Linked DNA regions of Elephas maximus indicus. The protein of the gene in region 2 purifies or fractionates together with the protein of the main gene of each other region. This does not show direct contact. Links are inferred from orthologs where the notes say so. Each region holds a gene or a part of one and is shown on either strand. Other genes may lie near its edges. The genes, in order: KLHL15, COPS6, CUL4A and TOR1AIP2.

The links.
Region 1: the proteins of COPS6 (region 2) and KLHL15 purify together in Homo sapiens (affinity purification with mass spectrometry; 3 studies listed by BioGRID and IntAct, with this or other methods). This does not show direct contact. The link is inferred for Elephas maximus indicus from reciprocal best matches to the Homo sapiens genes COPS6 and KLHL15.
Region 3: the proteins of COPS6 (region 2) and CUL4A purify together in Homo sapiens (affinity purification with mass spectrometry; 13 studies listed by BioGRID and IntAct, counting the BioPlex papers as one, with this or other methods). This does not show direct contact. The link is inferred for Elephas maximus indicus from reciprocal best matches to the Homo sapiens genes COPS6 and CUL4A.
Region 4: the proteins of COPS6 (region 2) and TOR1AIP2 purify together in Homo sapiens (affinity purification with mass spectrometry, with the first as the bait; 3 studies listed by BioGRID). This does not show direct contact. The link is inferred for Elephas maximus indicus from reciprocal best matches to the Homo sapiens genes COPS6 and TOR1AIP2.

Annotation. Positions count from the first base shown.
Region 1 is NC_064846.1:155,086,254-155,093,875, reverse strand, and holds the start of KLHL15 (kelch-like protein 15), read right to left. Parts: upstream 3,002-7,622; 5' UTR 2,765-3,001; intron 1-2,764. Other genes in the region: EIF2S3 (eukaryotic translation initiation factor 2 subunit 3), read left to right, coding at 3,089-3,157, 3,728-3,791, 6,194-6,321, 6,416-6,537. UniProt on the Homo sapiens protein: Substrate-specific adapter for CUL3 E3 ubiquitin-protein ligase complex.
Region 2 is NC_064830.1:91,596,058-91,603,419, reverse strand, and holds the start of COPS6 (COP9 signalosome complex subunit 6), read right to left. Parts: upstream 3,013-7,362; 5' UTR 2,996-3,012; coding exon 2,929-2,995; intron 2,708-2,928; coding exon 2,582-2,707; intron 1,880-2,581; coding exon 1,748-1,879; intron 1,333-1,747; coding exon 1,244-1,332; intron 1,141-1,243; coding exon 1,078-1,140; intron 768-1,077; coding exon 720-767; intron 636-719; coding exon 521-635; intron 432-520; coding exon 339-431; intron 241-338; coding exon 140-240; intron 10-139; coding exon 1-9. UniProt on the Homo sapiens protein: Component of the COP9 signalosome complex (CSN), a complex involved in various cellular and developmental processes.
Region 3 is NC_064841.1:79,608,580-79,615,429, forward strand, and holds the start of CUL4A (cullin-4A), read left to right. Parts: upstream 1-3,835; 5' UTR 3,836-3,916; coding exon 3,917-4,073; intron 4,074-5,677; coding exon 5,678-5,793; intron 5,794-5,939; exon of another isoform or gene 5,940-6,026; coding exon of another isoform or gene 6,027-6,086; intron 6,087-6,850. Other genes in the region: PCID2 (PCI domain-containing protein 2), read right to left, coding at 1,905-1,940. UniProt on the Homo sapiens protein: Core component of multiple cullin-RING-based E3 ubiquitin-protein ligase complexes which mediate the ubiquitination of target proteins. As a scaffold protein may contribute to catalysis through positioning of the substrate and the ubiquitin-conjugating enzyme.
Region 4 is NC_064842.1:42,817,270-42,824,098, forward strand, and holds the start of TOR1AIP2 (torsin-1A-interacting protein 2), read right to left. Parts: upstream 3,005-6,829; 5' UTR 2,856-3,004; intron 1,444-2,855; exon of another isoform or gene 1,383-1,443; intron 1-1,382. UniProt on the Homo sapiens protein: Required for endoplasmic reticulum integrity. Regulates the distribution of TOR1A between the endoplasmic reticulum and the nuclear envelope as well as induces TOR1A, TOR1B and TOR3A ATPase activity.

The DNA.
Region 1 (7,622 bases), on a different chromosome or scaffold from region 2:
CGGGATGGTTCATTTTAAGCCTAGTGGGATGGCAAAACTGACCAATCCCCTCATTAGGATTCCATATGCCTTACTTGCATTGGTCCCACCCCCACAAGGGTGACATGTGCCTTATTTACATTATTAGCAAGCTATCCAATCCCCTTGGTGGGTCACAGGCACCTCATCTGCATAGTCCCACCTAGTCATTTGGTGGGAGTTACAAAGACTATGGCTAGAAGGGCCATATTAAGTAATTCACCATACCACAACATGTCCACATAAAAACTTGTACACGAATGTCCGCAGCAGCATTATTCATAATAGCCAACAGGTAGAAACAATTGAAACATCCATCAGTTGGTGAACAGATACACAAAATGTGGTACATCCATACAATGGAATTGTATTCCGCAATAAAAAGGAGCAAACTACTACTATGTGTTACAACATGGATGAACCTCAAAACCAATATGCAAGGTGAAAGAAGCCAGAGGCAAAAGACCATATGTTACATGATTCCATTTATATGAAAAAGCGAATCTATATACACAGAATGTCTCTGAGGTTGGAATGGGGACGGACTGCAAATGGACACCAGAGATCTCTTTGTGGTGAGTGAAAAGTTCTAAACCTGGATTGTGGCGATGGTTGTACAACTCTGTGAATTTACTAAAAATCTTTGACTTGTATACCTAACACAGGTGAATTTTATGGTACGTAAATTTTACCTCAATAAAGCCAATTAAAAAAACAGTATATAAAAAAAGTATACTCAGACTTGGCTATGAATTTCAGCTCTGCTGCTAGCTGTGGAAACTTGGATATGTTACCTAAGCCTTTTGGGACTCAGTTTCCTCCTCTGTAAAATGAGAATAATAGTATCTACCTCATTATAAAGAAAACAAAAATCCACACAACTGACCAATAAGCAACATCATGATAAACAGAGAAAAGATTGAAGTTGCCAAGGATTTCATTTTACTTGGATCTACAATCAACGCCCATGGAAGCAGCAGCCAAAAAATCAAACAACACGCGCATTGGGCCAATCTGCTGCAAACAACCTACTTCAAGTGTTAAAAAGCAAAGATGTCATTTTGAGGACTGAAGCATGCCTGACCCAAGCCATAGTGTTTTCAATTGCCTCATATGTATGTGAAAGACAGACAGTGAATAAGGATGACTGAAAAATTGATGCCTTTGAATTATGGTGTTGGCGAAGAATATTGAATATACCATGGACTGCAGTAAAGAATGAACAAATCTGTCTTGGAAGAAGTACAGCCAGAATGCTCCTTAGAAGCAAGATGGTGAGACTTCGTCTCATGTACTTTGGACATGTTATCAGGAGGGACCAGTGCCTGCCTGGAGAAGGACATCATGCTTGGTAGAAGGTCAGCAAAAAAGCAAAAGACCCTCAAGGAGATAGATTGACACAGTGGCTGCAACAACAGGCTCAGACATAGCACAGACTGTGAGGATAATGCAGGACCTGGCAGTGTTTCATTCTGTTGTACACAGGGTCACTGTGAGTCGGAATCAACTTGATGACACCTAACAACTTCACTGGATTGTTGTGAGGATTAAACCAATATTTGGTAAGTAGGTGTCAACAATTTTAGGTGCCAATAATTTTAACCACTATTTTCATTAATTTGAAATTAATTATTGCTTCCTGTGCCTTTTTACTTCCAATAAAAATTTCTGACAATGAAGCATAATATTTAGTTATTTTCTAGGTATTATCAATGAGTTTTATTTTATTGAGATGTAGTTTCCATACTATAACATTCACCCTTTTAAAGTATAGAATTCAGTGGTTTTTATTACAGTCACAAAGTTGTGCAACCATCACTATCTAATTCTGGAACTCTTTCACCACCTCAACGGGTTTTCTTAATTGGCTGGTATAACTATTTAGAAGCTAAGATAAATAAGAATTAAACATCACCATCCAAGTACAATATAGCATAGTTTCCACCATCACTTAGCCAGTGAATGCACTCATTGAAACACAGCTATCTATTTAGGTAAACCGTTGTACCTAAAATTTATTATATAAAACACATATTCATTTTAATCTTAAGTACTCAATGGGTACATATAACCTAAATTTTTATGTACCTCTCCTTATATCTTTTTTCCAGTTAATAATGAATACCTGTTTACAACAGAAAAACTGCAAAGCATAAAAATGTATGGAGTAAAACAAAAAACACCCAACTTCTTTTTAACACGCGATGAAAAAAGGTTTGAGTCTCAAAATTGTTTAAATTTTAAAATGACGATTGGTAATCTTCCCATTAAAGAAGTGGGTTTTCTTGGACCTGCTTTTTTAAAAACTTACTTTGGGCGCTCTTATGACACCTAGCTTCTCCCCGAAGCAAAATCCTTTCGGAGTGCACTCTAGTGCCACCACGGACCACCTCTCAAGGCCCTAGAGACCTCCGTCTGGGAACAACTTAGGAACTTTGCTTTTCCTATCCGGGCGCCCCTGAGCCCTTCCCCTAACCTCCACGCGAGGGCGCCCTCCCCGAAGCCTGACAGGCGACGCGCGGCGCCTTGAGCGTAGCCCGCTCAGCACGCGGCCTCCTCCCAGCCACGAGCACCGTTGCAGGCAGCGCGGATCCCGAGCCGACTTCGCCTTATTAAATTGTACCCAGGAATCGGTAAATAACGACAGTCTCTCTATATTCTAGTTTCACACCCCAGATAAAATTCTCAAGTTTCGGCAAACCGGTTCGGGCAACGCTCCCGGAAACGGAAATAGCTTCTCCCTTACCAGCGCGGAGCGTCGTGTTACGTTCCCCTCCAGGCCAAAGGACCTTTTCTGGAGCTGCCTTAAATGTTGCCTGCCCAAATAGCCAACAGTTCTGCGATTAGTAGATCCCGACACTTTGCATTGTGTTTCTTAGTAAGCCGACTAGCACTGAATGAGCCTAAGCGGAGAGAAGTCCAAGCAGTGAGGTCCCTGCTGCATGGGTCATCCGCCTTCGCTAGGCTTGGGCCCTGGTCTGTCTTCCCGCCTCGACTTCCCCGCCCCTCACCAGAGGGCTTGCGTGTTGTCAGCCGACAGCCTGGCCGACTTCCTTCCTCTCTGGGCAAGATGGCGGGGGGCGAGGCGGGAGTGACTCTGGGGCAGTCACATCTTTCTAGCCAGGATCTCGCCACCTTGGTGAGGTTTCGCTTTGGGAGGACGCGGAGTGAGCGTGGGAGTGGGGATGGTCATGCCTCCCGGGAGGCGTTGGGGCGAGGCAGTGCCGGGCCGTCGGGAGCCTGAGTTAGGAGGGAGCCCCGGATCCGAGCGGCCTGCGTCGCGCTCGCGCCACCGCTTGCACTTCGACCGGTCTGCGAGCTGGCTGTGGGTGTGCGCGCTCGTGGGACCGCGAGCTCCTGAAGGATTCGGATGGAACGTCACGGAGTGTCATTAAGGCTTTGACCAAACTCTGAAGGCTTGGGAAGGGAGCATCTCCACGGCCCTCAGTGCTAAAGCTTCCAAAGTTGGGGGCCTCGGGCCTCCTGATTTCTCATAGAGTGCAGGCGTAGTCTTTTGTTGTGTAACGATTAGGGGTGCTTCGGGCTTTCCAGTCATCAGAGCACAAGATTGCTTGTATGGGAAAAGCGCTTCAGAAGTAATAGAGAGCTGTACAGATGGTGATGAGCTATAGGTAGCAAACGTAAAGTCAGATGGAAAACCCTGTTTTGTCTTCTGTGCAGTGGTTTATAATAAAATGTTTCGTTGCAGGATGTTGCCAAGTTGACACCCCTTTCACACGAAGTCATCAGCAGACAAGCCACAATTAACATAGGTAAGAATAACTTGGAGTCCTGACGTGCTTGATCACTGGCAAGTAATTTTAACTTCTCCCTTGGTGTGATTAATTGAATTATATGAGGATTCAGGTATATAAGAAGTAGATACTGAACTCTTGTGAACAAAGCACCTGCTAGATTTCTTGGGAAACACAGAGAATGCTGCAAATACCTAGGTTACAGACTGAGTGAGAAGGAAGGATGTAACCCAGACCCTGAAAAATTTAACGTAAGGAATTATATAGTCGTACGTAGCAGGAGTTTAAAGAAGAATTGAAAATATGGCTGTATTTGCTGCACGGGGTTATTGTGAGAGCAGTTTGTGAAAGTCTTATAAAGAAGAATTGAAAATATGGCTGTATTTGCTGCACGGGGTTATTGTGAGAGCAGTTTGTGAAAGTCTTATTTGATATATAAGCCATTATTAAGTGGAGTATTTTTTTTTTCCTAATTGGCACCCTTCGAACTTTAGAGAAGTTACGTTGACTGTGTAAATTTTGGATATTTGAGAGTCTGTGCAAACATCACAGTAAAGCTTAGTTAGAAGTTAGACTCTACCCAAGGCCGTTAAAAAGTTCTAAAATATAATCTACCCTTGACAGCATTACTGTAATTAAACTTGGATTGTTTTCTTATTTTCATAGATTTCTCTTAGTTGTGTCAGGGCTCATCATATCTAGTCACCTCACTCTGGAAATGCTAGAAAGCTTCTTAATATACAAGATAATACACGATATTTTATACTTTTTAGCGAGCGTATATTTCAAATGAAGTCAGTTATTTCTCTAATAACATATGGTGAGTAGCTATTATTACACTGTATGATTTTTTTTTTTTTTTTTAGGTATTTAGGATATGTTGGGTTTTTTTTGTGGTGGTTGAGAATATACGTAGCAAAATGTACACCAATTCAACAGTTTCTACATGTACAATTCAGTGACATTAATTACATTCTTCAAGTTGTGCAGCCATTCTCACCCTCCTTTTCTGAGTTGTTCCTCCACCATTAACATAAACACACTGTCCTCTAAGGTTCTTAACTAATCTTTTTGAGTTGCTGTGTCACTTTGATCCCATATAGATAGTTCTTAAAAGAGCACATTGCTCAAGACAGACATTTTTTTACCAGTTACGGTAAACTATCGTTTGGTTTTAAGAAGACCTGAGGGGCTTTTTTTGTTTTAAGGTTCAAAGATTATCTCAGGGCAATAATTTCAAGGGTTCATCGAGCCTCCATGGCTCCAGGAAGTCTAGAGTCCATGAGAATTTGAAGTTCTATTCTGCATTTTTCTCCTTTGATCAAGATTCTTCTGTGGATTCCTTGATCAGGATATTGAGTAACAATAGCTGGGCACCATCCAGTTCTTCTGGTCTCATGACATAGGAGGCACTTGGTCATGGAGGCAGTTAGTCACACATTCCATATCCTCCTCCTATTCCTGACTCACCTTCTTCCTCTGTTGCTCCAGGCAAATAGAGGCCAATTGTTGTACCTTGGGTATGTGCTTGCAAGCTTTTAAGACCCCAGGCAGAACAGAGGCACTAAACATGTTATTAGGCCAATTAACTGGGCTGTCCCATGAAACCATGACCCTTAACTTCCAAACTAAGAAACCACATTCCAGGAGGTTTTTCGTTGTACATAATCAGCCTCAGCAGCTACCCTTTATTTGTTGTTGTTGTAAGTATATCTATCACACAACTTTTGCCAGTTCGACTTTTTATAAGTATATAACTTACTAGCAGCAATTACAATAATTTGCTGTATGACTCTATCCTTAATCAGTACAATTTCTCCATCACTGTTTACCCCTCCCCCTTTCCTCTTCTCTCCTGCCCCTGGCAACCACTAATAAACTTTGTTCTCTGTATATTTGCCTTTTCTTATATTTTTATAAGTGAGCTCATACACTGTTTGTCCTTTTGTGATTGACTGATTTCACTCAGCATAATATCTTCAAGCTCCATCCATCTTGTAGCATGTATCAAGACTTCGTTTCTTCTACTGGCTGAGTAGCGTTCCATTGTATGTATGTACCACATTTTGTCTATCCATTCATCTGTTGAAGGGCATTTAGGTTGTTTCCACCTTTTGGCTATTGTGAATAGTGCTGCAGTGAACATTGGTGTTCATTGGTGAGTCCAGTTTTTTGGGCATATTTCACCACGTATGATTTTTAACAAGGTTGTCAGTTACACAGAAAGCTCTCTTTAGTCCTGTGTCAAAACAAGTTTTTAGTAGGAAAGGATATATAGGAGGGAAAATTGAAGCCACTACTGGTTTCATGTCCATACCTACAATGTGAGCTATGGCTTTGGTTTGCTGTTCTAACACTCTTGAAGAAATACTTGGTGTAATTGGATGCACATGGATTAATTTTCTGTACTTTGATTATAGGTACAATTGGTCACGTAGCTCATGGGAAATCTACAGTTGTAAAAGCTATTTCTGGAGTTCACACTGTCAGGTTCAAAAATGAGCTAGAAAGAAATATTACAATCAAACTTGGATATGCTAATGCTAAGGTGAGTTGTGTATTATGGAACTAGAAACCATTTAAGTTTAATTGGTGAATGTGCAGATAACAAATCCAAATCTTTTTTTAATTGAAACTTTTAGATTTATAAACTTGATGACCCAAGTTGTCCTCGGCCAGAATGTTATAAATCCTGTGGAAGTAATACGCCCGATGAGTTTCCTACAGACATTCCAGGGACCAAAGGGAACTTCAAATTAGTCAGGTGATCTCTTTCATGCTAAACACACTTCACATTTTATGTATATATTATTTCTTGTTTTTTTGAAATATTTAAGGGAATGATTTAAACCCAATCGTGGAATGGCTTTTTTATTTTCCATTATTTTATGTTTTTATTGTCTATCATGAAGTTAATTTGGCACCCCCTTGAATTTTTGTACCCAAGGTGAGTGCTTCACTTGCTTCACCTTAATCTTGGCCCTGATCAGAGATCAGCAAATTTTTTCTTTAAAGTGCCAGATAGTAAATATTTTTTTTCTTTTTTTTTTAATTGTGCCTTAAGTGAAAGTTTACAGTTCAAGTTAATTTCTCATACAAAAATTTACACGCATACTTTTATGTGACCCTAGTTGCAATCCCTTTAACGTGATAGCACACTCCCCCCAGTTTCTTGTGTCCATTCAACCAGCTCCTGTCCCTTCTTGCCTTTTCTTCCTGCCTCCGGACAGGAGCCGCCCATTTGGTCTTGAGTATCTGCTTGAACTGAGAAGCTCACCCTTCACGAGTATTATTTTATGTTTTATAGTCTAGTCTAATCTTTGTCTGAAAAGTGGCTTCGGGAAGTGAATATTTTTTTACTTTGCAGGCCATAGGGTCTCTCTTGTACCTGCTTAGCTCTGCCTTCTATCATAAGGCAGATGTACATAATACGTAAATGAAAGATTTTGGAAGTGGGCCAGATTGGACTTGCAAGCCCTAGTTTGCCAACCCCTGTTTTAGATCATGAAGTGTGAACATACAATTTTAAAAATAGTAGCAATTCTGTATGAGGTCTATAATTTTGTTAAAATAGCACTGACATCTCCATTTTAGATTGGCAATTCCAGTTTTTCAAGGTGCTAGAGACACTGTCAGCAGATTATCCTTTCAGGTGTCACTCCCCTTTCTCAACACAGATTTTACAGTTTATTAAGTTTTAGCTTTCAAGTTGATGGCTTTCCCGATATATACTCTATACCCCGTTGTACACCATAGTCACTTTAATTGGATTTGGGAGTTTTTGTCTCTTCAGGTGAGTTATTTCTACATATAACTTAGTTTTATTTACTTTGTAATGATCTACACTGA
Region 2 (7,362 bases):
ATTGCATTGCTGGGAGGGAACAGAAAGAACCAGTTCCCCAGGGGATCCTTTACCGTATGCTCAGGGAACACCCGAATCCCATGTCCTGCATGCAAAAACAGCTTGAGCCCCACCTCCCCATCCTGGGCTTCACACTCACGTCATAAAAGTCTGTCTTGAACTTATCTGTGCTGAGTACAGGGAGGCAGTGGCAGAGAGCATAGGCCTCTCTCAGGATCTCATGGTTAAAGGGGACCTCTCCTAAAGGCACAAAAGCAGACTGCATTAGTATGGAGGCTGTTGGTACCTCAGGAAGTAGAGGAAAGATGGTACGAGTGCCAGGGAGGCACTTGTCCCACCTGCTTCAGAGGCCTTGACGTACTCCAAGATGAGCTTGACACGGCTGTGCAGCATCTTGATGGCGCTGTGCTGTGCTATCAGGTGTTCTGCCACTGCAGGGACAGGGACAGGTGAAGGGGGAGAAGACACGTGGCCTCCCTTCTACCCCTGCTTGCAAGGAAGCTCCGCCAGTCTCCGTTACCAGTGGAGTTCTCTCCGCTGCCTGTGGCTGTCATTCTGGCCACGTGGTCTACACCGATGCGTTCAGCTTCCTCTGTGGCCAGGGTGTAGGTCAGCTCGGCAAACAGCATTGTGGCCTACAGAGCAGAGTACCCCACAGAGGGTCAAAAGCAGGAAACAGGCCAAGAGCAGGATCTGAGGGTTGAAGGGTAGGGTATTACCTCTCCATTGATTATATCAATGACAGATTCAAAAACGCTGACAGGAAGCTGTAAAGAAGAGATGGAGAACAGTTCTAACATCAAATGTGCCAAGAACTGGACAGGGCTGTTTCACACATCTTCTCATTTAATACCCCCAAGAACCCAGTGAAGTAGAGACCATCCCTTTTACGTATGAGGAAAATGCAGCTTAGGTGTAAAATGATTAGACAAAGTCACAGAGCTGCAGAACAGAGGTTCAACTCTGGCATTCCCCAACACAGAAGTAATGTCATCCAGTAAAAGAGAACAGAGAAAGGCTAGAAGAAACAGTAACAGAGAGGCATGGTTAAAACGGCATGGGGTCAGTATTACTCACATCTGTGTGCTTGGTCATAGGGTTCAACTTAAGAAAGAGGGGACTCTCGATTATCTCACACACCTAGAACAGGAGGAAGAAGGACAAGAAAGTCAATGCCTTCTCTCTCCTCTTCCCCTCATCCTCTAGCCTCTGCCCCAGCATGCACATGTGTGAGCATGTATACCTGCTTATGGACGTGGATGTCGGAGGGGTCAGGCGGCCCCCCTGTGGTATACCAGCCGAGAAACTCCAGCTCCTTGAATACCTGTTTAACTGGAGAGGAAGGGGCCAAAGCACATAGTATTCCTTTAAACCATCCTTCCTCACTTTGAAGCTCCTGGTGTACTTTCATCATCTGTTCCCCATCTCCCTCAAATCCTGGCTTGTTTTAGAATAATTACTCCCTCTATCTATAGGGTCGCTATGAGTCGGAATCGAGTCGGCACTGGGTTTGGTTTTTGGTTTTATCCTGTCTTCTCTCATCCTTTACTTTTTTGTGGGGGAGGGTCTGGACCTGAATGTGTTCTTTTTCTGAGATCTTTTCAGCTACTCTCATCTTACTTTCCCTGTTCTCATCCCATTCTCCTGTTTATTTCTTCCCAATCCTATCTATTTCTCCCCGCCCCCCCTCCCCACCACCCTTTGCTTTTACTCCCATGCCTCTCCCCCACTTCTATTCCGCTCTCACACTGCTCCTCCTTGGTGTAATAATATTCCTTGTCAATGATAATCTTCTCTTCCACGGTGTGAGACAGCAGTTCAAAGGAGTTCATCACCTCAATATTTCGGCCCTCCTGCTTCCCGATCAGAGCCCCAATCACTGGGGAGAAGACACACATTAAGTGAGTACAGGTAGTCCCTGACTTACGATGGGTTCTGTTCTGATGACTCTGTAGTAAGTGATTTTCCACGTAAGTTGAATACGTCGTTTTTGTTTTCATTATTATTGCCTTTTATCATCAGTACCTTTATAAAGGAAACACTGATAGCATAGTAATTAAGTGCTACAACTGCTAGCCAAAACTTCGGCAGTTTCACTCCACCAGGCGCTCCTTGGAAACTCTATGGGGCAGTTTTACTCTGTCCTATAGAGTTCCTATGAGTCAGAACCGACTCGACGGCAACGGGTCTGATTTTGGTTTTAGCTTTATAAATCACAACATTGAACATCTATGAGTGAACATCTGAGAATAACATCAGCAAATTATGAGCGACAACACTGTAATACATATTACTAATGATAAGATGTATGAAATGAAAAAACCAGAAGTCCTAAGTGCAGTTTGTCCCAACTCGAATTCTAACTCAAACTCGACATTCGTTGTCGAGGACTACCTGTATAAGGAATTCCAAAACTTTCCCGGAAAGCCTGAGGTCAGTAGGAACCAAGTATTGGGAAAGCAGCGATTCAGGGAGAGGGAGTTGGCCTCAGTAAAACAAGGGAGTAGTTACCGGGGAAAAGTTCACCATTTGGGGAAGGTGACCAATGGGAGGGGGTTGGAAAATTATGCCAAACACTCACCCTGCATAGGCCGCCCCTCCTGGGAGCGCATGCGGATCCAGTGGTCTGAGATGTTGAGAATGACAAGGGGATGAAGAGCGACGGAAACACTACCAGTCACTCCGGAGGCCATCACGCTGGGGACTACTAAGGGTGGAGAGAAAGGGGTGAGAGTCACAGTCCGGGCACCACGTTCTTCCCTGGGGACGGGAGTGGGGGACGGCAGAACCCGGGCCCTACATCCCTCTGCGAGTTATCCCAGGGAAAGATGTGGCCGTTCTGTCCTCCTGACTTCTCCCGGGAGTCCAGAAAGGTCTTACTGCACCCGAAAGAGTGTCTCCAGAAACCGTCCCCGCCGGGCCCGTTACCTGATGCATCCACCTCCATCCCGGTGCTGCCTCCGGTCCCGTTCGCAGCAGCTGCCGCCGCCGCCATTTTCCCCACGCCCGCCAGCCTTGGTCCCACCCCCTCCTTCTCGGCTTCCGTACGGAGCAGCGGCGCATGCTCAGTTGAGCGCGCCTGCCCTGGCGTTGGGTGAGCTTTCGGTTTGGCGGTCTCCAGCTGCTCCTCTCACCCGACCATTGCGGGCGGCGCGGGCGGCCCTGTCAGCCGGCAAACCAGGAGGCCCTCGAGGCGCCTGAACCCGACAAATTTTCATAGACCCTGCCCCCATCTCTCTCCGCTGGTGACCTTGAGTAAAATTGAGATAAGAACACCTAGTTCTTAAGGCTGTTGGAAAATGAATTAAATGTCATGTTATTGCCCTCTGGATACAATCCAAACACCTAACCACCAAACGCAAGGACCTGCGTGATCTGATCCCCACCTGCCGGTCTACCTTCACCTCATACTTTTCTATCCCTTGGTCCTGTGCTTTAGCCACATTCCTCCCACATGCCCAACTCACCCCCACCCAAGGGTTTGTTCATCACTGGTATTCCCGTGATCCCCGTGTATAACCAACACAATATCTGACACAGAGGCATTTAAGTACTTTTTGCATGAATAAATAGGGGCGGAACCGGGTCTCAAGTGGTGCTAAATGCATGTGCTATCTTGCCTTCTTCCAGATATTGGTACCACATTTTTTCAAAACCCAACTTCCTTCTACCCGCCATCCCCTGCAGTCTGTGAAAAACTCACCTGGCAAACCTCCCAACCCACTCCAGCCCACTCCTACGCTCATGCAAATTGTATACACAGCTGCCCCTGTCTAGCTGGCACTTCTAGTGTGCATCCATACCCCAACCCAAAGTGTAAGCTCCTAGAAGACAGAGATCCTGTCAGGTGCCTGTTTTGTGATCCTGCAGAGCCCAGTCTAGGGCCCAGAACCAGCAGGTACCAGGAAATGTGTTCTGGTGATAATGGTGACTTGCATCATTGGTCAATCTCTTCATTTAGGAGTCTGGAAGAAAGGAATTTGAAGGGCAAGAACCTTCAAAGGAAGGAGACTGAGAAATCCTGCAGGGAGAGGAGTCTTCTGGCCAAGGGGAAATTAGGAAAGAGTTTTTTCCCCTCTAATCCACAGTGAGTAACACCCCACACCCAGGTGCCCATCAACTGAGAGGGTTGTTGAAGAAAATCATATATGCCTCACTTAGGAAAAATAAGCTCAGAAAAATGGTTTTCTTTTTAAAATGGTAGACGGCTACATTGAAAAGTTAAAAAAAAAAAGACAAGAATTATTGTAGTGTTAATAAAGTTCACAGCTGTGTTGTTTCACACATTAAAGCACTCCTTTGTCTTTGTTTCAAATGCTCTGGAAACATTATTCAACTCATAAAACAGTGGTTATTGGGGGAATTTAAGGATGACTTTGAAACTGAACCAGTTGATAATACATGCTTCAGAAGTAAGCTTACTGGGCATTTCTTAAAACTGCACTGTATTTTTAAAAACGACAAAAAACTCAAGTTGAAATTTTGGTGTTAAGACAGTCATCCTTAGGTTCTCTTCCTACCTTAAAACAAAACTAAATTCAACGCATCACTTTGTTGTTTTGGTAACTTGTCCATCCACAGGGTGACTATGGAAAGGACAGGAATCCTGCTGGTGGGGAACAGAGCAGAGGATCTGCTCAGAGAGAGCCAAGACTGGGTCACTGATTGCTTTGAGCCTGTGGTGTTGCCAAGAAATTGTACCTCTTTTGGGTCAGTGGTTATCCATTAGTCATTTATTCAACAAATATTTAGGAGTGCTTACTACGTGGCAGGCACAGTTTTAAATGGTGGAGATACAGTACTGAACAAAACAAAGTTTTGACCTTGTGGAGCTGATCTAGAGGGGTGCTATTTTACATGGAAAACTTCTCACGTAAAGTGAACAGGGACCTGAATGGAGCGAGGAAGCAAGGCATGATGATAGCTCATGGGAAGAATGTTCCAAACAAAGGGGACAAGTGCAAAGGTCTTGAGCCAAGACAATGTATGGTATATTTCAGGAATAACAAGAAAGTCAATGGCTGGAGCAGTGTGAATGAGAGAGAGAATAATAGGACATGAAGTCAGAGAGGTGACAGGGTTAGGTAATGTGATGCCTTGTAGGCCATTATAAAGACTTTGGCTTTCAGTCCGAGTGAAGTAGAAAAAAAAAAAAAAGACGTTTGAACAGAGGCATAACATGATTTGACTTAAGGTTTTAAAGGATCACCAGGCTGATGTGTGGAGATTAGAGTGTAGGGGGCAAAGGCAGAAGAAGCATGTAAAAAGCTATTGTTATAATCCAGGTAAGAGGTGCTGGTAGTTTGGTCAAGGACAACAGAAGTGGAAATAAGGAGATGACCAGTTATCCACATGCCTTCATGGACATTAGAAGAAGGCATCCACTCTGGAGCTTAGGCTGGATTTCAGTTTCCACCTACCCCTTCACCCAACTGCCTTTGACAGGGTACAACCTGCACAACCTACTCAGCAGTCCTGTGAGTCTGCTTGAAGTCAGGATAGATTTTGAAGGTAGAGCCAATAGGATTTGCTGACCCAAGGACTCTTGGACAGCAGGAGAAGCATATGAATCCATATCAGTCAGTTCGCAACAAGGTTGTGCCGGTCCAGTATCTGTCCACATGTGAAGGGAGGGACCACATTCAGGGGTTTCCATTTACAGCACCAGACACAGAAGAATAGCCCAGGACTGGCTGCTCCGCATGATTTTTTTCTGTTTTCGAGCACATGGACAAGGATGACAAACCCAGTGTGACTCAGACAGACCATCTGATGGTTTTGCCCTGCTGCAGTGCTGGATCTAGAGGATAAAGAGAGCATCAATTGATCCTAATTTTTTCTCCAGTCATCCCTGATTTGTGTGTGTGAGACAAGGGCATTTTTACAAAATTTATAAAGACCCATTATATCCCCCACCTTGACATATGTAGACCACTTTGGGGGGACCTGGAGAGTAGTGTACTCAATCAAGTGGTCATTGTCTTCATGATCTAGGACCACATCAATCCAACAAGAGAATACCCGTGGCAGAATCAGAATTAAGCCTGAATTCCCTAAGCCCGCTTTTGACTAGGCTGCACCCAGAGGGTGTACTAAGGTTGGCCTGGCATAGCCATTAGGGAAAAAAAGATGCATCATACTGAGGAACAGTCAGGGCGGAATTCTAAATTCTCAAAATAAGTATAATCTATCACCTCTTTCATCTTGATCATTACCCAAGAGGTGGCCAAGAGGAGATGAGGTGGCCCCTCTCTTGGGGGACAGTGGCATTCAGTGACTAGATCATCCTACTAGATCAGAGCAGAAGGAGATGAGGGAAGTAGAGCTGATTTTAGAGGAGGCCGTTCCAGCACTTGGCAACTAGATGCTGTAGATGGTAGGGAGTGTGGAATGTCTATCACATAACTTGACAATTGGCCATTATTGGGCGGCCTTTGCAAAAAAAAAAAAAAAAAAGGTGTACCATTATCAGATTGGAGAGGATCTGGAAAGCCTAAAGCATAAAAGAGTAGTTTCAAGGGCCAATCATGATGTGGCCTGAGTCAGCTGATAGGACTGGAACAGGGACACCACAACCTAAAGAAGTGTGAACAGAGGTGAGGCACCAAGAGTAGCCCCTAGAGGGCGTCAAAGGTCCTATATAGTCAATTTACCAGGAGCAGGAGGGGGAGGGGGAAGGTCTTATGCAATGTGGCTTCTGGGCAGTGCAGGATTGATCAACAGCTTGGTACCCGTCAGTCTCAGCAGAGAACAGGCCCCTACCATGGGCATCTACATGACTGACCCAACTGTCAGATTAGCAGCAAAGATTTGTTTCCACAGTTCACAGCCCTCAAGCGGGTGTCTTCAATTTGCCTTTCTGTAGTCTTCCAAGTGGTCGACCAGCTAGACCACTGGCAACAGCCCAGTTCAGTAAAATGCAGCAAGGTTTGTCAGGGGGAGTATTGGCCAGGCTTATGAGAACAACCTTGAGTTCTGTCTACTGAGCAGAGCAACAATGTCGGCTTTCAGTTTTCCACAGCAGCAGCCCAATATGGACACCATCAATTTCAACTTAGCTAAACCATCAGTGAACTAGGCTCAGGCATTTAGAGGAACCTCTGCGAACTGAGGACCCCACTGATCCATGTCTTTGCAACACCAAGATTCTGCTAGGGCCAGACTGGCTGTGCTCTTGAATTCCCATTTGACTAGCAAAGACTTTTAGCTTTTTCCCACCTTGCCAGGTTCAACTTGACTGGCCCCAAATGGGGATATCAGCCTAGAGTGTTACAAAGCCTCAATGGGTCAGGCTTTCAGTTTCAGTAGCAAGTTAAGAGCTGCTTTATAAAAGGGTATACCTGGTGGCTGTGTCGGAAGGTG
Region 3 (6,850 bases), on a different chromosome or scaffold from region 2:
CTCTAGAGAGATCTATATTTTAACTATACTTCTGCCACTTACAGGGTACACTGACGTGAGACAAATTTTGTCGTTGTTGTTGTTAGGTGCCACAGCATCGACAACTCGTAGTGACCTCATGTGATAGAGCAGAGCTGCCCCACAGGCTTTTATTCTAAGCTGTAATTTCTAGGGGAGCAGATCACCAGGTCTTTCTCGTGAGCTGGATGGGCTTGAACTGCCAACCCTTCGTTTAACAGCCGAGAGCTTAAGTTGTGCCACCAGGGCTCTCTGACACAAATTTTACCGGTACTTTTTTTTTTAAATGGTAGTAATTGGAGCCCTTGTAGTGCAGTGGCTAAGCGCTCAGCTGCTAATGGGAAAGGTGGTTCGAACCCACCAGCTGCTCCGTGGGAGAAAGATGGGGCAGTCTGCTTCTGTAAAGATTTACAGCCTGGGAAACCCTATGGGACAGTTCTACTCTCGCTATAAGTCAATTCAATGGCAAGAGGTTTGGTTTTCTGGTTAAATGGTAGCTGTTGTTGTTACATGCTGACGAGTCAGTTCCAAATCACAGCAACCCTTTGTACAACAGAATGAAACACTGCATGGTCCTGCGCCATCCTCACAATTGTCAATAGGCTTGAGCCCTTTGTTGCAGCCATTGTGTCAATGCATCTTGCTGAGGGTCTTCCTCTCTCACTGACCCTCTACCTTACCAAGCATAATGTCCTTCTCCAGGGACTGATCCACCCACTGACAACATGTCCAAAGTATGTGAGACAGAGCCTCACCATCCTCACTTCTAAGGAGCATGCTGGCTGTACTTCTTTCAAGACAGATTTGTTCATTCTTCTGGTAGTCCATGGTATATTCAACATTCTTTGCCAACACCATAATTCAAAGCCATCGATTCTTCTTTGGTCTTCCTTATTCATTGTCCAGCTTTAGCACGCACATGAGGCAAGTGAAAATATCATGTCTTATTCCTCAAAGTGATATCTTTGCCCTTTAACACTTTAAAGAGGTCTTCCGCAGCAGATTTCCCCGATGCAATAGGTCATTTGATTTCTTGACTGCTGCTTCCATTGGCGCTGATTGTGGATCCAAGAAAAAACGAAATCCTTGACAACTTCAATATTTTCTCCATTTATCACCATGTTGCTTATTAGTCCAGTTGTGAGGATTTTTGTTTTCTTTATGTTGAGGTGTAATCCATACTTAAGGCTGTAGTCTTTGCTCTTCATCAGTATGGTAGTAACTATGACTAAATATTGGCTAGCACTAGGACTACAACAGTCGCATAGTTGCTAGCTCCATCTCCTATTTGAATTACCTCAAATTCATCACTTCACATTTCCACCAGTGCCTATTCGAAACAAAAATGGGACTAAACCAGACCCTTGGTTAAGACTTCAATGGCTGCCCAAGGGCTAAATCCAAACTTCTCGGCGTCGCTTACAGGCTCTTCAAGGCCCACGAGAACCCACGCCTCTCCCGCCGCAGCCCCCCGCATCCCTAAATCGAAAGCACCGACCATTTGGTTCCTCCCTGAATTCCCAGCAAATCCAGTAAGTCTATATACCCAAACCATGATTAATTCCCATCTTGCACACAAGAGCTCAGAAATACTCAGCAAACACTAGGTGACCTGCCCAGCAGACCGTGAAGCTGTGTCTGGGTACCGTATGTCCGCACCCCAGCCCTGTCGCTTCACACTAATGCAGGAAAGGCTGTGACGTCGACTCTCGGTTCGAATCCCTCCCAGGACACCCATGTCACCGCCGCCCATCAGTAAAGCCCAGGAGCCAACGGAGCAACGGGCAGGGAAGCAGTCACAGACCTCAAGAGAACGGAACACAACGGCGACAGCGGCCGGGGGCGCCCGCGCACTGCCACTGGTCCTCCCCCAGCGAAGAAATTACCTGCTGCAAGTACTGGTTGATGGTGATGTGCGCCATGGAAGCGGCGGCCAGTCCTGCGCTCAGTCTGGCCGACACCAGCCTCTCCCACTTCCGCCCGCGCGCTGACGTCACTTCCGGCCCAGCGGCGGAGCGCGCGCCCGCCGCCCGGCCACGCCTTCCTCTCGGGGTCGCTGGGAGGGGGCGCTCCCGGGGGGCCGGCCCTCTTCCACCGTGGGCTGAGGGAGGCGGCTGAGGGATGCTCAGGGAGGAGGCTCAGGGGGGAGGCTCAGCGGGGAGGCTGAGAGGGAGGAGGCCCAGGGAGGAGGCTGAGAGGGAGGCTCAGGGGGGAGGCCCAGGGAGGAGGTTCAGGGAGGAGGCTGAGGGATGCTCAGGGAGGAGGCTGAGGGAGGAGGCCCAGGGAGGAGGCTGAGGGATGCTCAGGGAGGAGGCTGAGGGAGGAGGCCCAGGGAGGAGGCTGAGGGATGCTCAGGGAGGAGGCTGAGAGGGAGGAGGCCCAGGGAGGAGGCTGAGAGGGAGGAGGCCCAGGGAGGAGGCTGAGAGGGAGGAGGCCCAGGGAGGAGGCTGAGGGATGCTCAGGGAGGAGGCTCAGAGAGGAGGCCCAGGGAGGAGGCTGAGAGGGAGGAGGCCCAGGGAGGAGGCTGAGAGGGAGGAGGCCCAGGGAGGAGGCTGAGGGATGCTCAGGGAGGAGGCTGAGGGATGCTCAGGGAGGAGGCTGAGGGATGCTCAGGGAGGAGGCCCAGGGAGGAGGCTGAGAGGGAGGAGGCCCAGGGAGGAGGCTGAAGGATGCTCAGGGAGGAGGCTGAGGGATGCTCAGGGAGGAGGCTGAGAGGGAGGAGGCCCAGGGAGGAGGCTGAGGGATGCTCAGGGAGGAGGCTGAGGGATGCTCAGGGAGGAGGCCCAGGGAGGAGGCTGAGGTGCCTTCCCGGCGGACTTCCTCTCGCCAGCTCTCAGCGAGGCAGCTCCCTCGCTCGCGTTCTCGGTTTTTGTTTGGTTCCACCGGCAGGCGCAGGACCACAGACTGGGGCAATGGGGGTTTTCATGGGAGTCCCTGGGGAGCCGAGGGTTGCCGTTTCTCGGCGGAGAACAGCCTCATGGCCTCGCTGCCGCGCGATACCCTCGGCTCCTGCGTGTTCAAAGGAAAAATCCCACCGCCGACGGGGACGGGACCGTGTCTACACACCCTTCCCCCGACCGCCCTGGTCCTCGGCGCCCCGGGCCGCGCACGCGCGGTGGCAGCGGCCGGTGTCCATCCCGCTGGCAGCGCGACCCCGCGGGCCCGTAACGAGGGCGGGGGCTCCTGGGGGTCCCGGGGGTCCGGCCGCTCCGGGGCCCCTCGGCCTCTCCGTACGAGCTTCCGCCCGCAAAGGGCCGCGCCACTGGCGGACCGAGATGGGGACAGCCATGAAGAGCCGGCCCCGAGTCCAGGGCGCTGCGCCGTGGGGCGGGGGACCCGGGATCGAACAGGGGACCAGGCGCGAATCGGCGGTTGGGAGCAAGCTCGTGGAAGGCCCGGCGGTGCCGCGGCTCGCGCGGCCCCGGCCCCCTTCCCGAGGCGGAGTCCCGCGGCCCGGGCCGGGGCAGGGGGCGGGCCCCGGGAAGTGGAGGCCGCTGGCGGGGGCGGAGAGGAGGCCGGGTTCCGGCTCCGGCCGGCGGCGGTGTTTACGGCGCGCGGGCGCAGGCTTCCAGCGGGCGGCCGTGCGGGCGCGGAGAACTTTTATCTGGGAGAAGGGACGGCCGGCGAGGGACGAGCGGGGCGGCGGCCCCGGGCGCGCTCTCGGCGGAGGCTCCCGGGACTCCCTTCGCTCCGCGGCCGCCGGCGAGGCCTAGCTCGCACCCCGGAGGGGCCGGGGCACCGGGCAGGGGCGGAGAAGGAGGCGGGGAGAGCAGGCCGGGGCAGGAGGAGGAGGAGGAGGAGGAGGAAGCGCGGCCGGGCCGCGACTGGAGGCGGGAACAGGCCGAGGGCGGGGGTGGGGCGGAGCGGCCGCCGCCGGTTTGTTTTCTCGGCAGTAGACATGGCAGACGAGACCCCCAAAAAGGGAAACTTTTCGGCTCTCGTCGGGCACACCAATGGCCTCACGAAACCTGCCTCCCTGGCAGCCGCCGCCGCCGTCACCACCAAACCTGGGGGCGGCAGCGGCTCCAAGAAATTAGTGATCAAAAATTTCCGAGGTAGGTGCGTGAGGGCGAGCGCGCCCGGGCTGGGGGAGGGGCGGCGGAGCCGAAACGGCCTCGGGACGGGCCTGCCCCGCGCGGCCCCGGGGGCTGGCGGACACAGCGGCCGGGCCAGCACGTCCCGCCGGGGCGACGGGCCGGGGCGCGGGGCGCGGGGCGACGGACGAGGGCGCATGGCGACGGTGCGGGGCGCGGGGCGACGGACGAGGGCGCATGGCGACGGTGCGGGGCGACGGGCCGGGGCGCGGGGCGACGGGCCAGGGTGCGGGGCGACGGACGAGGGCGCGGGGCGGCGGGCCGGGGCGCGGGGCGGCGGGGCGGCGGACGAGGGCTCGGGGCGACGGGCCGGGGCGCAGGACTACGGACAAGGGCGCATGGCGACGGGCCGGGGCGCGGGGCGACGGCCGGCCGCGGCGGTCCCGGGAGGAAGGGGCGGCCGAGCGACTTCCTGCGCCCCCCGCCGGCGGCGGGTGCGTGGGGCCGCGCGGCGCGGACGTCGGAGCGGCGACGGCCAATGGGGAAGGGGCGCGGGTCGGCCTCCCTGCGCACGCGCCGCGCTGACCTGCGCCGACCTCGGCCGCGCTGGACCCTGCGGGGTCGGGGACCCAGAGCCGCCGCGGTGCTTCGGGGTCCCGCCGGGCCTGCCCTCTGCGTCTCGGCCTTCTGTCGGCCGCCGGCTAGCTTTCTAGTCTGTGCTGCCTCGTGAGATCTCTGTGTAACGTGGACATCACTTTGGTCCAGTTCCCAGGGACTTTTGGACTCCGTACACCTTTCCCGGTACCGAGTTCAGGGAGGTTTGAAATCTTGTGCGAGACTAGGACGGCACATCCCTCCCCTAAGATAGAAAGAAAGAGGCCCAGTGAGTCGGCAGTTTAGCCTCCTGACTCAGGGCGCGTACCCGGAGCTCAGCACTGTGCGCCTCAGGACGCAGACCCTGCAGAAATAGGGATCGTCCGTTAAGTGTGTACACACGGACTTTTTAAACTTCACCTGACCGCCCTAAATATGGGACATTGGAGATTTATACCATATCAGGTCTTCTTTGTAGCAGTGTTTTGTTCTCATGACTCTATGCAATTGATAGAAAAATCATAAATTAGATAAATAATGTATGGTGATTGGCACAGCTGAACCAGAATAAGCCACTACTGCGCGCGTCACTGTACTTTCTGTTACTTCCTCCACCTCTTACCACCTCTATCTTGGATAATATCTCAAAATAAGCATCTTTGATGCGGGTATATACAATTACAAGCTTACTCTTTACCTTCCAATGTTAGATAATTTATATCAATTTAAAATTGCGTAGAGCTTAACTGTGCCACGTTTATAATGTTCTGATGTCAACTTGTTAAGGAAACTAAGATGTGTAAATTTGAAGTATTCATCCTAACTAACTATTAGTACTAAGTATTGAAATAAAGATGTTACCGTTGCTTAGTCCATAACCCAAGGAATTTATAAATGCAATACTTTGAATTTGGAAAACTTGATTTTCCTGTTTTTTCTGCTTTTAAGTATTTTTCTTTGAGAACATTTTAGAAGATGTGTTACTGTCCTGTGGCAGCCCTTCTCCACTGATTCTCTTTCTGAATTTACAGACAGACCTAAACTGCCGGATAATTACACTCAGGATACATGGCACAAGCTTCATGAGGCAGTGAAAGCCATACAAAGTAGTACCTCCATTAAATACAACCTCGAAGAGCTCTACCAGGTAAGGGTCCAAATGTAGTAAACTGTAGAGTTTGCTAGAATTTCTGTTGAGACGTGAATGTGGAATTTTCTTAGACCTGGAGAAGTTCCTCAGAACTTGATTTGGTTGACATCTTGTCATTACAGTTACCTGGTTGTCTCTCTAGTTGTTTAAACGCATCGCCCAGTTCCTGTGAAATGTGATACAGGTGAAGATTCTACATTCCACTTTAAGAGAGTCAGCAGTGACAGAATATGAATCCAGAATGTCTCAGTATGTTTGCCTCAAACAGGAACAACAGGAGTCCTGTGAAAGTGGGTCCTGGTGTGTTTTTGTTCATTGGTTCTTATTGGGTTTTTATTTTGTTTTCAGGCTTAAGCTGCCTGGGAAGATTTTAGTTATCACATTGCAAGAATAAGGTGGGATGTTTTTCAGAGCCATACGATTCTAGTAATTTCCAAATACGTAGCAAATTATTATTATCACATTATGTTTATGAAATTCTTAATTGTTTTTCTTGTTAATATAGATTTCTCGCTTCATTGTGTTTTGTGATTAATTGCTGAAATGAAGTTCTGTAAACACATTTTATGTTTAATATGAAGTAATGAAATTCCATTTTTCAAGGAAGAAAATGGTTAAAAGAACATTTTATTTGAATTTTTCATTTACAACCTGACTGGTTTTTCTGATTTTTTAAAGAATAACATTCATTAACTAATAGCGGCTACGTTTTAGGCTACAATATCATATCACACAATTATTTCCATTAAAAAGGCTTGCATTTTTAAAGTTACCTTTTTTTCAGATGATGTGAGTGATTGGATTATAAAAATTATGGAAAATACAAAGCAAAAATTACCTATGCTCCCACCAGTCAAAGAAGGTTACTGCTGACATTTTCATGGACATAGTAAATAGTTTGTCTTCCTGTATGTGTTTATGATGTTTTTAATCAGCTTTATTGAAATGTAATTTACACATAATAAAATTTTTTCATTAAGTGTACATAGTTCAGTAAGCTTTAGTAAATGTATACAGCCGTGTAACCACCACCATCAAGACGGGCAATATTTCC
Region 4 (6,829 bases), on a different chromosome or scaffold from region 2:
TTAACAAACCAATGTTTTAAATTTGACTTTTTGCACAAAGGTAACTACATTTTTACATTATGTATACCTACGGTGAAAGTCTGAAGGAGAATATATAAAAATGAAAACAATTTGATTTGTTGCGGTAGCAGAGTTATAGGTGAATTCTCTTCCTTTCTGTTTCAACCACCAAAATCATGTGCCAACTCCTTTTATAGTAATGAAGAGAAAAGTAGCCCAAAGAGCAATAACTATTTCCGTTTACTGAGTCCTTAAACTATCCCATTTAATATTCCAAATTACCCTATGAATCTTCACTTTGTAAGTGAAGAAATGAGCTTGAAGTCACACTGACACAACAGGAATTCAAACCCAACCCTGACTCCAAAGTTTATGCTCATAACCAACGCTGGGGACATCCTTCCTTATTCCCAAATGCTTGATTTTCTGTTTAAAGTTTATGATAAAATATAATCACCGTATTGAATTCTCTCTTGTAGCAAGCAGTTTAATGAGTAGTTTGAAAGGTACAGAAATATTAATAAGATTTTAATACAACTAAAATCTTAAGTTCAAAAACAAAAAGAGGCCATTTTTAGTTGTTATTTTTTTTGGAGCTTGTAGAATCCCTTTATGTGCTTTTACATTTGGAATCCTTCCCTTTAAAAGAGGTTTGTTTAGTGTAGCTATTCTGAGCAAACCTTCCTTCAGCAAACTCAGGTGGCACTTTACAGAAACATACATTTTTGTAGAATATAATTTGAAATGATTTTTTAGGCAAAATAAATTATATATGAGACAAAATAAATTATTAAAATATCCAATAATTCTCAAACAATTAGCTAAATTCTGAAGTCGGTTTATTTGTGAATTATAGAAGCTCTTTAGGCTAATACTGTCACCTCTACATTAGATAGGAAACTAGGAAAAATAGAGCTTAAATGAGTCACCCAAGGTTATGTGATAAACCAGCAGCAAAACCGGTAATCAAGTTGTGGAGTCTATACTCAACATAATAAACATTCCTGAGGGCTGTCACTTTTTCACAGCGAATATCAGTTTTTCAAACTCTTCTGATCCACACAAAGGCTTCCAAGGACATTTTTAGTTCCTCTACCATGAAATTCCTTTTCCTATTTAATGATTTTCCACTGGCCATTTATATACTGGAGTCCCAGGATGGCATAAACAGTTAAACACGTGACCATAAATCCTCACCTACTAACCAAAAAGTTGGCAGTTCGACCCGCACCCAGAGGTGCCATGGGAGACAGGCCTGGCAACGTGCTTCCAAAAGGTCACAACCTTGAAAACCCTATGGAGCAAAGTTCTACTCTGCCATACTTGGGGTCGCCGTGGGTCAGGGTGGGCTCTATAGCAACTGGTTTGGTTTTGTGGCTTACCATGAAGTTCCTTTTTCTATTAAATTGATTTTCCACTGGCCGTTTATATACTAATCACGTGCTATAAAATAAAATAAAACAGATAAATATGGATAATTGCCATGTTTCTAATTCTTAAAAAACAGACAAGGAAAACATCTCTCATATAGACCCAAAATAACTGCTCTTAAACCTAAGGATAGATAAAAGTGAAACAAAGCCAGTATGTTCAATCAGAGTGAACTCATATCCATGTGAGTGTAACAGTATAAAGTCTAACAAGTACTGCTGACAAAGTAGATAGTGCCAAAGTATGGAGGACTACAGGCTTGGTTGAAAGAAGAAAAAGGTGTAAACTTTTTCATTGGGTATGAAATACAATAGAAAGTAGGGTTCATATATAAAAAATGGGAGCCCTGGTGGCACAGTAGTTAAGTGCTCCGCTGCTAACCGAAAGGTCAGCGGTTGGAATCCGGGAGTGGATCCGAGGGAGAAAGGCGTGGCAGTCTGCTCCAGTAAAGATTACAGCCTTGGAAACGCTATGTGGCAGTTCTAGTCTAACCCACTGGATCGCTATTGAGTCAGAATTGATTCCATAACAATTTTTTTTTTTTTAAATATGTAGTACGTAAGTAAATGAGCCCTGGTGGAGCAGCGGTGAAGAGCTACAGGTCGACAGTTCAAAACTACCAGCTGCTTCTTGGAAACCCTATGGGGCAGTTCTACTCTGTCCTATAGGGTGGCTATTGGTCAGAATGGGCTCGCCGGCAATGCATTTGGTTTTTTGGTTTTAAGGAAAAAGTCAGTTGTAGGGTCTTCCAAAAACTTCAAACTTTGTGCTTCTTAGCACCATTAAGGCTTTAAAAGGAGTCCCTGGATGGTAAAAAGAGGTAAGCCGTCAACTACTAATAGAAAGCATAGCGGTTTGAACCCACCCAGAGGCCTCAGAAGACAGGCCTGTTATCTACTTCTGAAAGGTCATAACCTTGAAAGCCATATGGAGTACAACTCTACACATACAGGGTTGCCATGAGTTAGAATCAACTCAATGTCAACCAGTTTGCTTCTTTTGGTTTTTTTCTTTAAAGGCTTTAAAAACAAAAAAAAGTTAACTATTTTAAAAGGATTAAGATGAACGATGGGATCTTGTGAGGTACATGTCACTTTTTTCAAGGAGGTAAAGATTACTCACTACCTGCACTAGTATTCGTATTTCCCATTTACTCTTTGAACCTTATAAGAATTCTGCTCCTCATTTTACTCTCCAAAAAAAAGAAAAATACACTCACCTTATCCTATTTAGTACTTTTAAAATTCTGTTTATCCTTTTTTACTATAAAACAAAAATATACCCCCATCCTACCCCGTTTAATGTTTTTGCGGTAGGGTGGTGGGGGTGGGGAGGGATCGTTTCTCAAAGAGCGTTTGAAAGGAGAAGGTATCCGTTCAAATATTAAAACATAGAAAAGTTGAATATGCATTTTGTTTACTTACAAATTCCAGGTGTTTTAAACCGTCGACTGTCAAATGTGCGGGGAGCCTTCGAGTGTTCTTCCTGCTCCACAACACTGGGCTACACCCCACGGCCGCAGCCGCTAAATACCGTTCCTGTCCCCTGTCCCCTGCTCACGTGACGGCGACCTCCGCCGGGAGGCGCCCACGGCATGCTGGGACTAGTAGTCTCCCGGTCTCTCCCCTCCCTTCTCTTTCCCCCTCTCTTCCCCTCCACACCCTAAACCCCAGCAGCCAGCGGGGCGCTGGAACTAAAGACTTGGTAAATGCGCACAACAGAACCGCAGACATCCCAAGATTCTTATGCTGATTGGTACCTGACCAGAAGCCAGGCATCTCTACAAGACGTCTGACGCCCCTGACCCCTTAAGGATCTGAAATTCATAGGCTGGAAAAACCCACAGAACCATGACAGTGAGAGGCGGTACCAAATGATAACGACAAGCACCAGTCAGACTTGGCTTAGAATCCGGCCTCTGCCATTACTAGGTGTGTCTTTTCAAGTTGCTTAACCTAAGCCTCAGTCTGCTCGTGCATCAAGTGGGGCCAATACTACCTGACTAATACGGTTGCTGTGAGTAAATGAGATGACGTAGAGAGCGATAGCTGCTAAATGATATTAGTGAATGATCAATAAAAAGGAGGTATTATTTTGACCTATTAATTTTATAAATGTGAAAACTGGAGGAAGGGAAGTGATTTGCCCAAGAACATATGATTGGTTAGGGGCAAAGTAAATTAAGTCTAAAATTCAGGTTTTCCAGTTTCTGAACATCAGTGCAAGACAAAACAGAAGATATCTACTCACTTCTCCAAGTAAATAGCCTCCTTTGCCATGACACTTATGACCAACACACTATTTTTGATTTTTGTCTGACTCCTCCCTTAGAGGAAACCCTGGTGGCGTAGTGGTTAAGTGCTAAGGCTGTAACCAAAAGGTCGGCAGTTCAAATCCACCAGGCGCTTCTTGGAAACTCTAGGGGGCAGTTCTACTCTGTCCTATAGGGTCACTATGAGTCGGAATCGACTCGACAGCAGTGGGTTTGTTTTTTTTGTTTTGGTTTCCTCCCTTAGAATATAAACTTCAAGAAGTCAGAAAGGGATTTTTGTTAGTCTTTTGGTCTATTTTGTTTACTGCTGTATCCACAGGACCTAGAAAGGCAGGGACTGGCCAGTACATAGCAGAAGTGCAAATATTCACTGAATAACCCCTATAGTATTTGATTTTTAGTGCCTTCACCTCTCTGATATCTTCTTTTAGCAGAAGTCACAGGATTGGGAACACCCTTAGATTCTATTCATTGACTAATTTCTAACTGAACAAAGAATATGGAGAATATGTATTATATTCCATTCACCTCATTAAGTTTTCTTAATTTCAGCATAACATTTCCAGCAGATGTTTTCACTTATCTTAAGAGTCCTTAAAATGTTTTTCTAACACTTGTGAGAATGGGGGGGGTGGAGCCAGTTACTATATCCTTAAAATTTACTTCCTCTTATTTAATATTTTATTCACCTTTCCTTATTAAAATTAACATTATCCTTTTCTAAGATAGAACCCCAAAGGTATTTCCCTGTACGACCAGAAACGTTGCGAATATTATAGATGTTTACTTGGTAAATAACTGGATTCCTACTTTTTGTTAGGTGCCATCAAGTTGATTTTAGCTCTTAGCGACCCCGTGTGACAGAATTGTTCCATAATGCTTTCTAGGCTGTAATCTTTACAGGAACAGATCCCCAGGTGTTTCTCCTGCTAAGTAGCTGGGCGGGTTCAAAACCGCCAAGCTTTAAGTTAGCCACTAAGTGCTTAACCACTGCACCACCAGGGCTCCTTAGAATTTGTTTACCCTAAACAAAAAACTCATGTACAAAAACAATTTTATCTGTAAAGTTACTAGGTGTGGGAGGCAGTTACAGAAAAGCTGGGATTATGTATCCTTATTACGTAAACAGAGGGAAAATCCTAAGTGAATGTGACTCCACTTTTAAGATTCTCATGATTCATTTATTCTGAAAGCTGTTTTTAAGCATTTAAAAGCATTTTAAGTTACAAATTAATATATGTGATTATTCAATAATATATAAAAGCTCTCATCATTCTCTCTTGTAATATCTCCTCCAAACCTAAGTTTTATAAACCTGTATCCACATTTCTATATAGTCACCTTCCTGGTAAATGTTTCAAAGAGGCTCTTAATGTTTTAATAATCATAATATGAACTTTGTGTATTAATAAAGTTTTATATCTTTTAATAATACCTATTAACAAACATTTACTGTTATGTGTTAATAATGAGTAATATACTAACCATGCTATAGAGAAGGCATTACTTAAATAAAATGTAACCAATGTGGCTGAATAGTACTATACAAATTGTTAAATGGGAACCTAATTTGCAGTGTAAATTTTCACCAAAGATACAATACGTATTTTTTAATTAAAAGAACCATAAATAAAAGCCAATTGTTACCAAGTATTATTACTTTTCTGCATTGTGTCCTGCAAATTTTCCACATGTACCACCTAACCCAGGCTAACAAGGGACAATACCTGTTTCAATTTCCCTTAAAAGATTAAAAAAGGAGGAGGAAAACTCCCTCTCTTTACTTTTCCTCCAGCTTATAATAAACGAAGCTAAAATAAGCTAAGCTCTTAACGGGCTAAGAGACTCTCTAAAGCATGTAATTCCTTGTATCTGTAACCAAATTTAGACTATTAGTGAAAGCATAATACACCTAAAAAAAAAAAGACTTAATTAAATTGAAATTTGGCCCAATTTTGAGCAAATGAGTATAATAAACATTCTAAGGTGATTAAGTAAAATACTTGAAAGAAACCTGTTAGCACCTTCAATTTTTTCATAATTATTCATTGTAATTGGTATCCAAATTACGAATTTTTTTCATCTGCTTACTACAATCAACCATAAAGCCCTCCAAGCAGACAAGAGTGTATATAATACAGCTTTCTTTCAATAATTATTCAGACTTAATCGATTTTCCCTCAGCTTACTAAATTTGGTTAATTTGCTGATTATCCAAATCTCTAAGCGTGGTGGGGAAACAAATGGCTTTTATCGTGTTTTTTTTACTCAGTAAACACAGGAACTCTAAACCAAATGCACTATATCAAGCCACGCCCAGGATCAAAATGAAAATAATGGGTCACAACTTAAAATACAGCACTGCCTTTAATAAAAAGTATTTATTTCTCACTGTGCATAACGCAGTACTACGAACCTGCTGTTGGAATAGAGCTTATATTCGAACGTATGCTATGCACGCATCTCTAAAACGGAGATCCACCGAGTTCGACAGTAGATACGACTTTGTACACTCTTAACGGGTGACTTAAAACTGGGTGACAGCCTTCATAAGAAACTTGAAATTTTAAGTTTCGCCGTGAAAAGAAGACATGTGCCAAAGACGTAAGCGTCACTCTTGCCAGGGACACTTGAAAGGGTATGGCCACGGTAGCGGTCGATCAAAAGACATCCCAGGAAAACTGCGCAACAGCCTGAAGTCGAGGACTGAAACAAGTCTTCACCCTCGTCCCACTGGCTTTTCCCAGACGCTCGGTCCAGGGGGCCATGACAGGCGTCTCCTGCGCGCAGCCAACACCTGCCGGCAGCGCCGGGCTTAGGACAGGCAATTTGCGCAGCCACTTGTCCCTTTTTGTTGCCCCTTCCCCTCCCTCCCTCAAGGCCGAGGACAGCAACGTCCTCCTCCTCCTTCTCCTCCTCTTTGGTGCCTCCAGCCAGGAGGCGGGAGTGACCCACAGCAGCTGACCCAAACCAGGCACTGCCTCTCCCACAGCCCACAGGAGCCACCATGGGCCCAGAGGCGGGTTTGCAGCACTGCAGCGACGACGCAGGTGGCGGCCCCGGCGACTCTCAGCTACCTCCCTGACCACCGCAACCACTGCCCAACACCCCGAGAAGCCATCGCCA